3 linked regions of the Macaca mulatta genome follow. The protein of the gene in region 1 binds, or shares a complex with, the protein of each later gene. Links are inferred from orthologs where the notes say so. Each region holds a gene or a part of one and is shown in the gene's direction. Other genes may lie near its edges.

What was found.
Region 2: the proteins of MKI67 (region 1) and PPP1CC are in contact, whole or in part, in a crystal structure (PDB 5J28), measured with the Homo sapiens proteins. The link is inferred for Macaca mulatta from reciprocal best matches to the Homo sapiens genes MKI67 and PPP1CC. Residues at the interface, in NP_002408.3 of Homo sapiens: Arg504, Arg505, Val506, Ser507, Phe508, Gly509, His511, Leu512, Arg513, Pro514, Glu515, Leu516, Phe517, Asp518, Glu519, Asn520, Leu521, Pro522, Pro523, Asn524, Pro526, Leu527, Gly530, Glu531, Ala532, Pro533, Lys535; in NP_002701.1 of Homo sapiens: Val19, Arg20, Gly21, Ser22, Lys23, Pro24, Lys60, Tyr70, Asp71, Leu73, Arg74, Glu77, Tyr78, Lys168, Ile169, Asp242, Leu243, Tyr255, Phe257, Arg261, Pro270, Asn271, Ser284, Asp286, Thr288, Leu289, Met290, Cys291, Ser292, Phe293.
Region 3: the proteins of MKI67 (region 1) and NIFK are in contact, whole or in part, in an NMR structure (PDB 2AFF), measured with the Homo sapiens proteins. The link is inferred for Macaca mulatta from reciprocal best matches to the Homo sapiens genes MKI67 and NIFK. Residues at the interface, in NP_002408.3 of Homo sapiens: Thr9, Ile10, Lys11, Arg12, Ser13, Pro18, His19, Phe20, Pro21, Ser23, Leu24, Arg31, Gly32, Ile33, Glu34, Cys35, Asp36, Ile37, Arg38, Ile39, Gln40, Leu41, Pro42, Val43, Val44, Ser45, Lys46, Thr66, Asn67, Ile91; in NP_115766.3 of Homo sapiens: Val228, Asp229, Ser230, Gln231, Gly232, Pro233, Thr234, Pro235, Val236, Cys237, Phe241, Leu242, Arg245, Gln248, Val249, Leu252, Asp256, Lys257, Asp259, Glu260, Ile261, Val262, Phe263, Lys264, Gln265, Pro266, Ile267.

The regions. Positions count from the first base shown.
Region 1 is NC_133414.1:140,140,804-140,145,873, reverse strand, and holds part of MKI67 (proliferation marker protein Ki-67), read left to right. Parts: coding exon 1-1,982; intron 1,983-3,171; coding exon 3,172-3,606; intron 3,607-5,070. UniProt on the Homo sapiens protein: Protein that associates with the surface of mitotic chromosomes and acts both as a chromosome repellent during early mitosis and chromosome attractant during late mitosis.
Region 2 is NC_133416.1:117,903,901-117,908,970, reverse strand, and holds part of PPP1CC (serine/threonine-protein phosphatase PP1-gamma catalytic subunit), read left to right. Parts: intron 1-2,890; coding exon 2,891-2,995; intron 2,996-4,508; coding exon 4,509-4,732; intron 4,733-4,934; coding exon 4,935-5,069; intron 5,070-5,070. UniProt on the Homo sapiens protein: Protein phosphatase that associates with over 200 regulatory proteins to form highly specific holoenzymes which dephosphorylate hundreds of biological targets.
Region 3 is NC_133417.1:15,726,995-15,732,164, forward strand, and holds the start of NIFK (MKI67 FHA domain-interacting nucleolar phosphoprotein), read left to right. Parts: upstream 1-1,992; 5' UTR 1,993-2,039; coding exon 2,040-2,144; intron 2,145-3,144; coding exon 3,145-3,282; intron 3,283-5,170.

The DNA.
Region 1 (5,070 bases):
CTAAGGAAAAGGCTGAGGCTCTAGAAGACCTGGCTGGCTTCAAAGAGCTCTTCCAGACACCAGGTCACACTGAGGAATCAATGACTGATGACAAAATGACAGAAGTATCATGCAAATCTCCACAGCCAGAGTCATTCAAAACCTCAAGAAGCTCCAAGCAAAGGCTCAAGATATCCCTGGTGAAAGTGGACATGAAAGAAGAGCCCCTAGCGGTCAACAAGCTCACACGGACGTCAGGGAAGACTACGCAAACACACACACAGCCAACAGGAGATAGTAAGAGCATCAAAGCATTTAAGGAGTCTCCAAAGCAGATCCTGGACCCAGCAGCAAATGTAACTGGTAGCAAGAGGCAGCTGAGAACTCGTAAGGAAAAGGCCAGTGCTCTAGAAGACCTGACTGGCTTCAGAGAACTCTTCCCAGCACCAGGTCACACTGAACAGTCAATGACTGTTGACAAAAACACAACAATGCCCTGCAAATCTCCCCCAGCAGAACCAGCAGACACTGCCACGAGCACAAAGAGATACCCCAAGACACGTCTCAGGAAAGAAGTGAAAGAGGAGCTCTCAGCACTTGAGAGGCTCACACAAACATCAGGGCAAAGCACACACACACACAAAGAATTAGCAAGTGGTGATGAAGGCATCAAAGTATTTAAACAACGTGCAAAGAAGAAACCGAACCCAGTAGAAGAGGAACCCAGCAGGAGAAGGCCAAGAGCACCTAAGGAAAAGGCCCAACCCCTAGAAGACCCGGCCGGCTTCAAAGAGCTCTCTGAACCATCAGGTCACACTCAGGAACCACTGACTGCTGGCAAAGCCACTAAAATACCCTGCAAATCTCCCCCAGTAGAAGTAGTAGACACCACAGCAAGCACAAGGAGGCATCTCAGGACACGTGTGCAGAAGGTACAAGTAAAAGAAGAGCCTTCAGCAGTTAAGTTCACACAAACATCAGGGGGAACCACGGACGCAGATAAAGAACCAGTAGGTGAAGATAAAGGCATCAAAGCAGTGAAGGAATCTGCAAAACAGACACTGGCTCCAGCAGCAAGTGTAACTGGCAGCAGGAGACGGCCAAGAGCACCCAGGGAAAATGCCCAAGCCCTAGAGGACCTGGCTGACTTCAAAGACCCAGCACCGGGTCACACTGAAGAATCAATGACTGATGACAAAACCACTAAAATACCCTGCAAATCATCACCAGAACTAGTAGACACTGCAACAAGTTCAAAGAGACGGCCCAGGACACGTGCCCAGAAAGTAGCAGTGAAGGAGGAGCTGTTAGCAGTCGGCAGTCTCACACAAACATCAGGGGAGACCGCGCACACCGACAAAGAGCCGGTAGGCGAGGACAAAGGCATGAAAGCATTTAAGCAACCTGTAAAGCGGAAGCTGGACGCAGAAGATGTAATTGGCAGCAGGAGACGGCCAAGAGCACCTAAGGAAAAGGCCCAACCCCTAGAAGATCTGGCCAGCTTCCCAGAGCTCTCTCCAACACCAGGCCACACTGAGGAACTGGCAAATGGTGCTGCTGATAGCTTTACAAGCGCTCCAAAGAAAACACCTGACAGTGGAAAACCTCTAAAAACATCCAGAAGAGTTCTTCGGGCCCCTAAAGTAGAACCCGTGGCAGACCTGGTAAGTACCACAGACCCTGTAAAATCACAGAGCAAAAGCAACACTTCCCTGCCCCCACTGCCCTTCAAGAGCGGAGGTGGCAAAGATGGAAGCGCCACAGGAACCAAGAGGCTGCGCTGCATGCCTGCGCCGGAGGAGATCACGGAGGAGCTGCCAGCCAGCAAGAAGCAGAGGGTTGCTCCCAGGGCGAGAGGCAAATCACCGGAACCCATGGTCATCATGAAGAGAAGTTTGAGGACTTCTGCAAAAAGAATTGAACCTGTGGTAGAGCTGAACAGCAACAACATGAAAACCAACAAAGAGGAACACAAATTACAAGACTCGGTCCCTGAAAATAAGGTGAGAGGAAGTATTACAACATCACCCAATATCATCCTGGATAGTTGTCAGTTTCTGTGTTATACTTTGCATGTAACCTGACATTATAAGTGGTTATCATGGCCGGGCGCGGTGGCTCACGCCTGTAATCCCAGCACTTTGGGAGGCCGAGGCGGGCGGATCACAAGGTCAGGAGATCGAGACCATCCTGGCTAACACTGTGAAACCCCGTCTCTACTAAAAATGCAAAAAATTAGCCGGGCGAGGCGGCGGGCGCCTGTAGTCCCAGCTACTCGGGAGGCTGAGGCAGGAGAATGGCGTGAACCCGGGAGGCGGAGCTTGCAGTGAGCCGAGATCGCGCCACTGCACTCCAGCCTGGGCGACTAAGCGAGACTGTCTCAAAAAAAAAAAAAAAAAATAAGTGGTTATTTCCCAAATGGGTTTCATTTAACACAGTGAACAACTGCAGGCCATGGTAAAGAATCTTCTTGGGACCTATAAAGGGAACAGACTAATTTGGGAAAAGAACGAGTCAAAAATGATAAAATGATTAATGCAAACTTAGAAGAGTTTCTCAAGAGCCAAATGAGTAATGTTCATCTTCATATGTTTGAAAAATTGATCAGAGGATAGGTGGGTGGTTCAGTTCTATGTTCTAGATACTGTCACCAAGACCAGGACTGGGTTAAAAATAATATCTATGTCACTATTTTAACTATCAGAACAATATCGATAGGGAGTGTGTATTCTTGAGAAGGGGGGAACTGTCTGGACTGTTAGAGAGGTTCCTACTGCATCCGGAGAAGTTTGGGGAAACTCCAGAAATGGTAATTTCCTATTCTGCCTTAGCAGTGATGGTTAAAGGAATAGGAGTTCATTTACTCTCTGTAAATGAATGAATAATGGAGCTTCTTTCTATAAACTGTAAAAATTAGAGTTGATATATGTCTTTTTAGGCATTGTTATTGAAATTTATCCTGAATGCCTTATTTGTAATTTGTCAGCAGAGACAGTCATTTCTCCATAGGAACAAAGTACCAAGGCATTACCTTGACTATCTTAGATGACAGGTTTCTTAGAAAATTCATCAGTGAGTAATTTTCAAATGATTTCTCCTTTTAGTTTACTATTGTTGATTGTTCTCCCTGTTGAATTTTGAATTTGTTTTACTAATTATTGGAATTCTGTGGATGTCTTCTCATTTCTTTAGGGAATATCCCTGCGCTCCAGACGCCAAAATAAGACTGATGTAGAACAGCAAATAACTGAGGTCCTGGTATTAGCAGAAAGAATAGAAATAAACAGAAATGAAATGAAGACCTCCCCAGAGATGGACATTCAGAATCCAGATGACGGAGCCTGGAAACCCATACCTAGAGGCAAAGTCAGTGAAAACAAAAGGTGCTTGAGGTCTGTGAGACCGAATAAGAGCTCCCAGCCTAAGGTGGCAGAGGAGAGCGGAGGGCAGAAGAGCGCAGGGGTTCTCATGCAGAATCAGGAAGGGAAAGGAGAAGCAGGAAATTCAGACTCCATGTGTTTGAGATCAAGAAAGACGAAAAGCCAGTCTGCAGCAAGCACTTTGGAGAGTGAATCTGTGCAGAGAGTAACGCGGAGTGTCAAGAGGTGTGCAGAAAATCCAAAGAAGGTAAGCTATTTACTGTTTTCCGTTTTTAGAAGAGACAGTGTTTTGATCTATTTTTTTGCCCAAGGTTGCAAAGGCAAACAAAAAGCATTATTTTCAACAGCCCTCTGCCAGCTCCCAGTTACATTCATGGAAGGAGCATTATCCTAAGACATACGTTTTGTCATTTTAGTTATATTTTGTTGTGTCTGCTTTGGGGATTCCACTTCAAATAGCAAATTCACATTATGAAGACTTTCTTCAGAAAGAAAAGGAATTTGTCTAGTGGCTAATTGACTGCTTATGATGTACCTCATGATACAATTGCAGGTAGCTGTCTTCAGCCTTTCTGTAGTTCAAAAACACCTATTGAAACAGAAAAGTTCTTCCCCCCCCCCAAAAAAAACAAACTATTGAAACAGAAAAATGTCCAAGGAATTCTTTGGAAAGGTAGAAGGAACAGAGGTTGGGGTGGCCCTGAGACACACGCTGACTATGTGAGAATTCCTGATCAGTGGGGAGTGCTTCTGCCCTCCAACCCCCCTCTAGCCAGAGACTATCTAAGCTAATGAGCTTTAAGTGCTACTGAACTCACATCAAGTTTAGCCACACATAATTACAAGCATGTGGACAAATCGATAAGAATGATTAGATTCCATTAGTGTTCTTCTGGGGAATACTTGATTTAGCTAAAATAAAAATAGGTTGAATTGCTCCCTGTTTGTGAGTGGTATAAGTGTAATTCTTAGCACACACAAAATTTGGACCTAAAACTACCATATTGTGAGTTCAGCAAACGAAACTGGTGTAGCAATAACCTCTTCAGATACAGAATTCTGGCAAGTACAGCTGTCCAGACAGACCTTCAGCACAAATCAGGAAGCTTCAACTGCCGAGAAGAGGAAAGATTCCCCAATACCTGCTGCATAGCCAGGCAGCCAGTGGAGGCGGAGGGCTTGTGTGTCTGGATGGTGGGCAGGAAGTCCTAGTGGGGAGATGCCCATAGACTGTTCCAGAGAGGGAAGAGGGGAGGCTCAACAAGGACACTGATGCCCACACAGGTGTCCTAAGTCAGAGACTACTTCTGGGGCAGGCTGGAAGCAGAAGACATCTGACAGTGCCAGACGAGGTCCTAGAGACCACAGGGACACCAGGGATGCAACAGCTGATGTGGGTGAGCACGTTCACCCGTCCATCTTACAATAAAACACAGGCTCTAGGCGCTCACCAAATTCACAGTCTGGAAGGTGCTGCTTCATCAGAATGAAACAAAAGAAGGGTGAAAGCAAATCTTTTAACTAGGGTGATACCTAAACACAGAGCAACCAGGCCCAAGACTGAGCCAGGCCCGGTGTGTTCTGCCAGGCGCGTTCCAGCCTCTTCTCACACACAAGCACCCAGGAGACGTCCAACACATACATGCTCCTCTATTGCTGAGTTCTTCGGTGGGTGTCGGTAGTCCTAGAAAATGCATATATAACAGATTTT
Region 2 (5,070 bases), on another chromosome or scaffold:
TTTAAATTTTGCAAATGTGATGAAAAGGCTGAGGTATATGTTGTTGGGTAAAACAGGAGTGTTTGTTGATCCATTTCTGCTATCGGAGCTGTCTGATGTACAGTAATGGGAAACTGCATTACAGGTTATGGCTCAGAATCTTAGGATTTGGAAGCTAGACGATTTCCCTGGTTAAACCTTTTAGGACCCAGATGTTCCTAGTGGTTTGAGGTGGCCTTAGGGAGGATATGAAGAGAGAAGAGAAAGAGACAGCCCCACGCTTCAAGTGCTGAGAGGCAAAAGGAGGAAGCAAACTGATTTTTCATGGAGAGGCCAGCAGAAATCGGCAAGAGAAGAAACTGGAGTTTGTGGCATAACTAAAGAATCAAAGGCCGGGCATGGTAGCTCATGCCTGTAATCCCAGTACTTTGGGAGGCCAAGGTGGGTGGATCACTTGAGGTCAGGAGTTCAAGACCAGTCTGACCAACATGGTGAAAACCCATCTCTACTAAAAATACAAAAATTAGGTGTGGTGGTGCACACCTGTAGTCCCAGCTACTCAGGAGATTGAGGCAGAAGAATCCCTGGAACTCGGGAGGCTGTGGTTGCAGTGAGCCGAGATCACATTGCTTTACTCCACCTGGGTGACGGAGTGAGACCCCACCTCAAAAAAAAAAAAATATCCAGAAGTGAAGCTGACCTTGGGGAAAGAGGAAGTCACTATCACTGGGGGGCTAAGGCAGCAGCCCTGTTCTTATAATACAGGTTAAGTATTCCTTACCTGGAATGCTTGGGACTAGAAGTGTTGCAGGTTTCAGAGTTTTGTGTTTTGTTTTGTTTTGTTTTGTTTTAATTTTGGAATATTTGTGTTATAATTACTGGTTAAACATCCCTAATCCAAAAATCTGAAATCCGGAATGCTCCAGTGAGCATTTCCTTTGAGCATCATGTGAGTGCTCAAAAAGTTTCAAATTTTGGAGCATCTTGGATTAAGGATACTCATCTTGTGGTGGTGGTGGTGGTTAGTAGTAGTATTGCTGTTGGACATGGGAGGTGGTGTTTTTGCAGATTGCCCATCAGCCTTTCGTAAGGAGGAGTTTGTTGGTTTTTTTTTTTTTTTTTTTTTTTAGATGGAGTTTCATTCACTCTTGTTGCCCAGGCTGGAGTGCAATGGTGCGATCTTGGCTTACTGCAACCTCTGCCTCCCAGGTTCAAGCAGTTTTCCTGCCTCAGCCTCCTCAGCCTGGCGGGAGGAGTTTGTTGAACTTTCAGAACCCCTCCAGTGAAGGAGTTAGTAGCCTCTAAAGAAATGCGCAACAGGGTGACCCACAGAGTTAGACCCAGTCATTGAGAAACCAGAAATTACTAGGAGAAAAGATAACACTCTTCTCTGCAGAGAGAAGGCAAACATTTGTTGAATTTACATTACATTTCAAGCCCTGTGCTAAACTCCCTAGACTGCTTGATTTGCATTACAGGGTGGGAAGTGTGGTTCAGGTCAGTTGTTTGGGCTGGCCCTAACTCTCAAAGGAGAGGTACAGGTTTAAACCTTTCCATGTCCCTGTAGTCCCCAGGAAAAGACTAATAGGGACAAACTCTTGGTTTGGTTTGGTTTGGTTTGGTTTGGTTTGTTTTTTGAGATGGAGTTTCGCTCTTGTTGCCCAGGCCGGAGTGCAATGGCACAATCAAGGCTCACCACAATCTCCGCCTCCCCGGGTTCAAGCGATTCTCCTGCCTCAGCCTCCCAAGTAGTTGGGATTACAGGCATGCACCACCACACCCAGCTAATTTTTGTATTTTTAGTAAAGAAGGGATTTCTCCATCTTGGTCAGGCTGGTCTCAAACTCCCAACCTCAGATGATCTGCCCGCCTTGACCTCCCAAAGAGCTGGGATTACAGATGTGAGCTACCCCGCCTGGCCAAACTGTTGGTTTTTAAAGATTGTGCTTAGTAAGGTACAGGAAACAAAGGCATCTGGACAATTGGACAGTCCTCAACCAATCCAGAGAAATTTGTTCTTGCAAGGTATGTGAGTAGGTTTTAAACTCAGAACATCAGTTTCCTGTAGAAACAGTGCATAGTGGCATATTTCTGTCAGAACTGCACTCTGACTCCAGAATGTGTGGATGCCTGTGCTGGTGAGAGAACGTGACCACCCTGTGACATCAGGCCTGTGGGAGCATGTGGAGTCTGTGCAGTGTTGGAAACAAATGCCCTGTAGTGCCTGTGAGAGGCACCACTGCCGTGTGATCATTGTGCCTCCTGCTAGAGCACTGAGGCCTGGGGATCCTCTGGTATCTGTAGGTTGTTGAGGGGAGTACATGGGGGATGGGTGCTAACTCAGGATTCCTCAGAAGGAAGGTCGTAATGCCACATGGTGTAAGTTCGTAATCGCCTTAAGAATTAGGGAACTAGCTGCGTTGAGATTGGACAAAGCATACTGGATTTCAGACAGAATTGATGCTACCAGATAATTCCTGGGATTTGATGGCAATCCTTAATCATTATCAAATCTGGAATTCTGGTTTCATACTTCTGTGGAATTTAAAAAGATTTCATGTGAAAATGTAAGTCATTGCTTTTAGATCAGATGTGTCTCTCCTAAACCCCTTCCCTCCAGGAGAGTCTTTCTTTAAAGAGATGGGGTGTCACTACGTTGCCCAAGCTGTTCTTGAACTCCTGGGCTCAAGCGATCCTCCTACCTCAACCTCCCGAAGTGCTGGGGTTACAGGTCTGACCCACCACGCCCAGCTCTTATTTTAAAAGAGTGTTAAAATAAGACAGTTTTATTAAGATTCTTAATAAAAACATAGTTTCGTTTGCTTAAAAAGCACCCAGAATCTTGCTTTGGGGGAAGTTAATCCTGAGAGAATGAGCCTACGGAACAGTAATACTCTCTTTTTGATCACAGGTAAAAGAAGATACAACATTAAACTATGGAAAACTTTCACAGACTGTTTTAACTGTTTACCGATAGCAGCCATCGTGGATGAGAAGATATTCTGCTGTCATGGAGGTAGTTGGGCTGATTTTTGTTCCAAATAGGTTTTGATCCCTTCCAAAGGATGAACACTTTAACATTTGTGAGTTACCATTGGGATGACTTCCTCTGACAGAACACTCTCCTTTGTTGATGTGTTGCATTGCACTGTCACTCCGATACAGCCAGGATTACTTGGATAAAAATCTTAAGGAACTGATTTATTACAGGGAATTCTAGACTCTGTAAATTAGGATTGAAAATAGAGCAGAAAATGTTTATTTTTATTTTATTTTTTGTAAGGATGAGTTCTCACCATGTTGCCCAGGCTGGTCACAAATTCCTGGGCTCAAACAATCCTCCTGCCTTGGACTTCCAAAGTGTTGGGATTACAGGCGTGAGCCACCGTGCCCGGCTCGGAAAAGTATTTTTAACTATAAAATGAACAATATGTAATTTGCTGTGCCAGGGATCCTCTAGAACACTGAAGATGTGAATAGATTTTCCCTTGTTTGTTTTTTATCCTCTCAGAACTTTCTCTGACTTGGATTTTAAAAGTTATTTTGTCCAGGCATAGTAATTCGCATCTGTAATTCCAGCACTTTTGAGAGGCCAAGGTGGAAGGATTGCTTGATGCCATGAATATGAGAACAGCTTGTAACATATCGAGACCCCTGTCATTAGAAAAAGTGTTAAAAATTAGCCAGGTGTAATGGTGCACACCTGTAGCCATAGCTATTTGGGAGGCTGAGGCGGGAGGATCACTTGAGCCCAGGGGTTTAAGGCTGCAGTGAGCTATGATCGCACCACTGCACTCCAGCCTAGGCAACAGAGGAAGACCCTATCTCTAAAAATATATACATACAAATTTTATAAGCTATTTTTCTTTGCTCAGTGGTTGTGCTTTCTATAATGTAATTAAAATAGTAATTGCAAAGAGAATTTCTTTTCATGTATGGTGTGAAATTAATCAGCCATCAAAAAGCCAACATAATGTCTTTTATCTCTGTGCTTCTATACTTACACAGGTTTTGGTAGAGTTGGATACATGGTTTTTAACTCTTATAATATGCATCCCATATTGTAACTCGATACAATGAGCTCTTGTAGATTTTAATGGTCTATGAATAGTGCAGATTTCCTAGAGAACTACCTCTCACTGAGCATCCTTATCTTCTCAGCTCAGTCATTATAAGCCATCAATCGTAACATTGCTCATTATTGTCATCAACTGGGGAAGCCCGTAGAAGAGTTTTTTAAATCACTGGATTTTGTTTTACAGTGTTCTGTATAATATAACTGCCTCCATGTACTGTTTAAACCTGCAGCACCCCATGCATTACTGCATATAATTCTAGTGTGTATCCAGTTGTCCTTTTTCTGTGTGTGTGTGTTTTTTTTCTTTTAACCAAAAGTAAATAAAATATAATCCGATTTCAGTTTTTGTGTCAGTATTATTGAATTTCTCTGTAGACAAATGGAACTTTTGAAGGGGTAATATCCTTTTAAAAGTTTTGCTTTCTTCGTTTTTCTTTTCCTCATTGAATAGGTTTATCACCAGATCTTCAATCTATGGAGCAGATTCGGCGAATTATGCGACCAACTGATGTACCAGATCAAGGTCTTCTTTGTGATCTTTTGTGGTCTGACCCCGATAAAGATGTCTTAGGCTGGGGTGAAAATGACAGAGGAGTGTCCTTCACATTTGGTGCAGAAGTGGTTGCAAAATTTCTCCATAAGCATGATTTGGATCTTATATGTAGAGCCCATCAGGTATTGATTTTGAATTTTACATGTACACTTAAGAGCATGTGTGTGAGCACAGATTCTCCTTGTTGATTTTGGTGGGTAGGTATTGCTTATTTATACAAAGTGTTTCTGGAACACAAGATATCAGGCTCAATGGGAAACTGAAACGTGGTTTTACTTACCTAATATTTGCACCTATTTATACTGAAAAAATTTTCTCTCAAAGGTGGTTGAAGATGGATATGAATTTTTTGCAAAGAGGCAGTTGGTCACTCTGTTTTCTGCGCCCAATTATTGTGGAGAGTTTGACAATGCAGGTGCCATGATGAGTGTGGATGAAACACTAATGTGTTCTTTTCAGG
Region 3 (5,170 bases), on another chromosome or scaffold:
GGGCTGAGGAGTGCAGGCACGCGGAGCGGGACTGGAGGGCAGCTCTGCCTGTGCCCCCTGTGCTGGATCCACTAGGGGAAGCCAGCTGGGCTCCTGAGTCTGGTGGGGACTTGGAGAACTTTTATGTCTAGCTTATAAATATACCAATCAGCACTCTGTGTCTAGCTCAAGGTTTGTAAACACAACAATCAGCACTCTGTTAAAACGGACCAATTAGCTCTCTGTAAAATGGACCAATCAGCAGGATGTGGGTGGGGTCAGATAAGTGAATAAAAGAAGGCCGCTCCAACTAGCAGTGGCAACTTGCTCAGGTCCCCTTCTATGCTGTGGAAGCTTTGTTCTTTTGCTCTTGCAATAAATCTTGCTGCTGCTCACTCTTTGCGTGTGCACCGCCTTTATGAGCTGTAACACTCACCACAAAGGTTTGCAGCTTCGCTCCTGAAGCCAGCAAGACCACAAATCCACCAGGAGGGATGAACAACTCCAGACGCACCGCCTTTAAGAGCTGTAACACCGCAAAGGTCTGCAGCTTCACTCCTGAAGGCAGTGAGACCACAAACCCACCCGAAGGGAGAAACTCTGAACATGTCCGAACATCAGAAGGAACAAACTCTGGACACACCATCTTTAAGAACTGTAACACTCACCACGAGGGTCTGTGGCTTCATTCCTGAAGTCAGGGAGACCAAGAATCCACCAGTTCTGGACAAAAAAGGTGTAAACAGCCACAGCCTCGCTTAAAACCCAACCACCCCCTCGCATTTACAACAAAACCCCAGTTTCATACTTTGACACACAGAGCCATGGGACTCCAGCCTGCCCCCTCGCAGCTCTTCCCTCCTACGCTGGGCTCCAACCCCACTGCTGGGTCCTTCTTTCTATACCTAGGAACACATGTGTAGGCCTGTCTGATCCAGCAGATGGCAGGGCCTCAGTTCTCCAGACCCTGCTCCTTAGCCTTCAGGCTTCGCTGCCAACACCACCTCCTAAGGGGGACCCTCCTGCGTCACCCAGTGTGCCTCTCCCCCACGAGGCTCTTTCATCTCTCAAAGCAGCCATGCTGCCCCAGGCTGTAAATTCTCTAGGGGTCTCCACACAGGAGGGGCTCACACACTAGTGAGTGAAATAACCAAATTAGGGCTGGGCACGGTGGCTCACACCTGTTATCCCAGCACTTTGGGAGGTTGGGGCGGGTAGATCACCTGAGGTCAGGACTTCGAGACCAGCCTGACCAACATGGTGAAACCCCATTTCTACTAAAAATAAGCCAGTGGGGCATGGTGCGGGCGCCAGTAATCCCAGCTACTCGGGAGACTGAGGCAGGAGAATCGAACTCTGAAGGCAGAAGTTGCAGTCAGCTCAGATTGAGCCATTTCACTGCAGCTGGGGCAACCAGAGCGGAAACTCTGTTTCGAAAATAATAATAAGCAAATTGAGGAATGTGAGCAGCATCTCGGGCACCAGTACTGTTTTGTAATTGTAGACCGCCTTTCTAAGTAGGCGTGAAGGTAATTGTTTCAGGCACTCTTAAGCCAAGCCAATCGGCGCCCCTACAGCGGAGGGCGCGGAAACTATCCCCAGCCCAGCCCCAGACCCCACTCCCCGCCGCCCCGGGGCCCCCCTGCCCCGCACCGCTCTGTCCACCCCCGCCCCGTCTCCACCCCCACCCCTGTCCCCACCCCACCCCCGTCCCGCCCCACTCCCCACCCCCGCCTCGGCACAACTACGCCCGGTGCCGCGCCTCCGCGCGACTCATGCCTCTCCCCGCCCCTCGCCAGGCCTCGTGCCCCGCCCTCGCACCGCGGCACAATTTATGCCCCGTCCCGCGTCCCGCGCCCCGCGCCTCGTGCCCCACCCCCGCTTCTCCGTGCTACTCCTGCTCCAACCCCGCGCGCGACTCATGGCCCTCCCCACCCCTCGCCACGCCTCGCCTCCGCGCTTCGCCACGCCCCTGTCCTACCTCTACTTCCGCCTCAGGGGAGCTGGGAGCCCGTCGTTTCCGGGAGCGCCGCGTGGAGTTAGTGTTGGCCGCTTTTGGCATGGCGGCTTTTTCTGGCCCAGCTGGGCCGATCCTGTCGCTTAACCCGCAGGAAGATGCCGAGTTTCAAAAGGAGGTGGCGCAGGTTCGCAAGCGCATAACCCAGGTGAGCAGGCACCCTGGTCCAGGCTGCGAGCGGGGGCGACGGACAGGGTCTAGGGGGTATCCGGGGTTGCGCGGTTCCCCGCCCGGACTCCCCTTGCCTTCGCGCACGCCTTCCAGAGTATCCTTAGCGGATTTGACCGAATCAGGGACCCACCTCTTAAGCTTGCAGGCCACGGTTTCTGAGACTAAAGGGTTTACGCTGGTGGGTAAATGATGGAGAGGTTTGGCCGCTGAGGCCTTGGAGCCTTCATGTGGAGGGTAAGGGGGAAGTATTGGGGTGACGGAAGCCGCGGAGGGAACCACCTGGAGGGAATAGGTTCCCATACCACAGGTTGTCTCCGGGTTAGACCTGTCACGCTTCCGCGTTCCCCCCGAAAACGGGGGCCCCAGACTTAACACATTCGGGAGGTTTGTATGCCGGGTTGGTGATCTGGGAGTTATTAAAATAGAGTAGTTGCCAGGTTCCGCTTGCTGACCAGGGCCCCTGACATCGCTTATACTTTCTGTGGTTTTTAGCATAAACTACACAGGAAAACTTAGAAGTTCTTGTTACAGAGGTAAGGGTATGATGGTTGAGACGCTGAAAGGCTAATCTGTATTGTGAGAGTTAGCAAGCGTCTCGAAAATTTTTCGATGAAATGCGAGTAAACAGTAATATGCATACAAAATTGAAGGCTATATTTATGTAGAGTTCTCTGGGCAGAAGATCCAAAATGGCTTGTTCGAAGATGTCCTTGCTTATCCGTTGATTGACATAGTTATTGAGCACTAACATTATACTGGGTGCTGGGATGCCAGGCTGGAAAGATAGTTGATTACTGCTTGGCCATGGCCTTTGTGGGGAGAGAGACACTCAACAGCCACTTCTTTAATTACTACTGTGGTAAGTGGAAATGCGGAGTAGGTTCTTGGGCCTAGGGCTAGGGGTTTTGTAAGTTTTGTTACAATGTGATTTTCTTATTTTAAAAAATATTTAATTTACCTGGTCTTTATGTCTTCAGCGGAAAAAACAAGAACGACTTACTTCTGGAGTAGTCTATGTGGGCCACCTACCTAACCTACTTAACGAAACCCAGATCTTTTCGTATTTCTCCCAGTTTGGCACTGTGACACGATTCAGACTGTCCAGAAGTAAAAGGGTAAGATTTTTAAAGTTGGATTTGACGTTTTGTTTTTCAAATGTGTGTGATTCTTGACATTAAAGAGCACGTTCACATACTCTTATCAGATTTCATTCCAAAAAGAAGAGTGGAGGTTTAGAATCTGAAACATAGAATCCCGGCACATAAACTTGGGTTGTAGCCATAGGCACCTATTTGATTTAGCATCTAGGGGATAGGGTGTGCATCCATCATCTGTTAGTTGTCCTAAAGATACAGATTATAGGTAGAATTGAGGTCCCTTTTGTACCCTTCCCAGTGTTCTTCACCTTCTCCTTTAATTAGGGAATTAAATTCACAAATTCCGTTTTCTTTTTTTTGAGACAGAAGCTTGCACTGGAGTGCAGTGGTGCGATCTCAGCTCACTGCGACCTCCGCCTCCCAGGTTCAAGCGATTCTCCTTGCCTCACCCTCCCAAGTAGCTGGGATTATAGGCACCTGCCACCACACCTGGCTACATTTTTTTTGTGTTTTTAGTAGAGACGGGGTTTCATTAGTTGGCCAGGCTGTTCTCGAACTCCTGACCTTGTGATCCTCCCACCTCAGCCACCCAGAGTGCTGGGATTACAGGCGTGAGCCATCGCTCCTGGCCACAAATTCAGTTTTCATTGCTATATATGTTTATAAGTTTTTACTGTATCTATATATATATGTGCTACAACACGTGTGTACATATATAAATGTACATATAGTATTATTTTAAAATTATTTCTATCATTCTTCAGCTGAATTTTTTTACTCAATAATCTGAGCTTTATCCGTGTAACTCTAGTGCCTTTGTTATCATCATTGCTTGTTACTTAGGTAACTAAAGTTTATCCACGCTCCTATTGAACATTAGGTTTTGTTTTGGGGTTTTTTTTTTTTTTGAGACAATCTCACTCTTGTCACCAGGCAGCTGTAGTGCAGTGGGACGATCTCAGCTCACTGCAACCTCCGCCTCCACATTCAAGTGATTCTCCTGCCTCATCCTCCTAAGTGGCTGAGATTACAGGTACTGGCCACTGCACCTGGCTAATTTTTATATTTTCAGTAGAAACCGTGTTTCACCATGTTTTGGCCAGGCTGGTCTCAAACTCCTGACCTCAGGTGATCCGCCCACCTCGGCCTCCGAAGGTGCTGGAATTACAAGTGTGAGCGAGCCACTGTGCCTAGCCTGAACATTAGGTTTTTTACTATTTTTAACTCTTTACATGAAGCTGCTAGGAACAATCTTTGTGCAGGTATAGACAGATTTTTCTAGAAGAGCATTTTGCAGACTGGCTCACAATAAGAAGTAAGTTTTTACCATCACAGAGAAGATGAGGGTTTTCAAAAAAAGTTTCATAGCACAAACCAGCACACATACACATACATGTAAGCATAACTGAAATAAAAGCCATATGAGACAATATTTAAACTTGTTTTGTGTGATTTGCTGATTTTCTATTTCATTCTATTCAGGGTTTTTTTGGTTGTTGTTTTGTTTTGTTTGAGACGGAGTCTCGCTCTGTCGCCCGGGCTGGAGTGCAGTAGCACAGTTCCTCAGCTGACTGTGACCTCTGCCTCCCAGGTTCAAGCGATTCTCCTGCCCTCCTCCAGACTAGCTGGGATTATAGGTGCCCGCCACCATGCCTGGCTAACTTTTTTTTTTTTTTTTTGAGACAGAGTCTCACTCTGTCACCCAGGCTGGAGTGCAGTGGTGTGATCTCGGCTCACTGCAAGCTCTGCCTCTCGGGTTCACGCCATTCTCCTGCCTCAGCCTCCCGAGTAGTTGGGACCACAGGCGCCCACCACCACACCTGGCTAATTTTTTTTTTTTTGGTACTTTTTTAGTAGAGAGGGGGTTTCACTGTGTTAGCCAGGATGGTCTCGATCTCCTGACCTC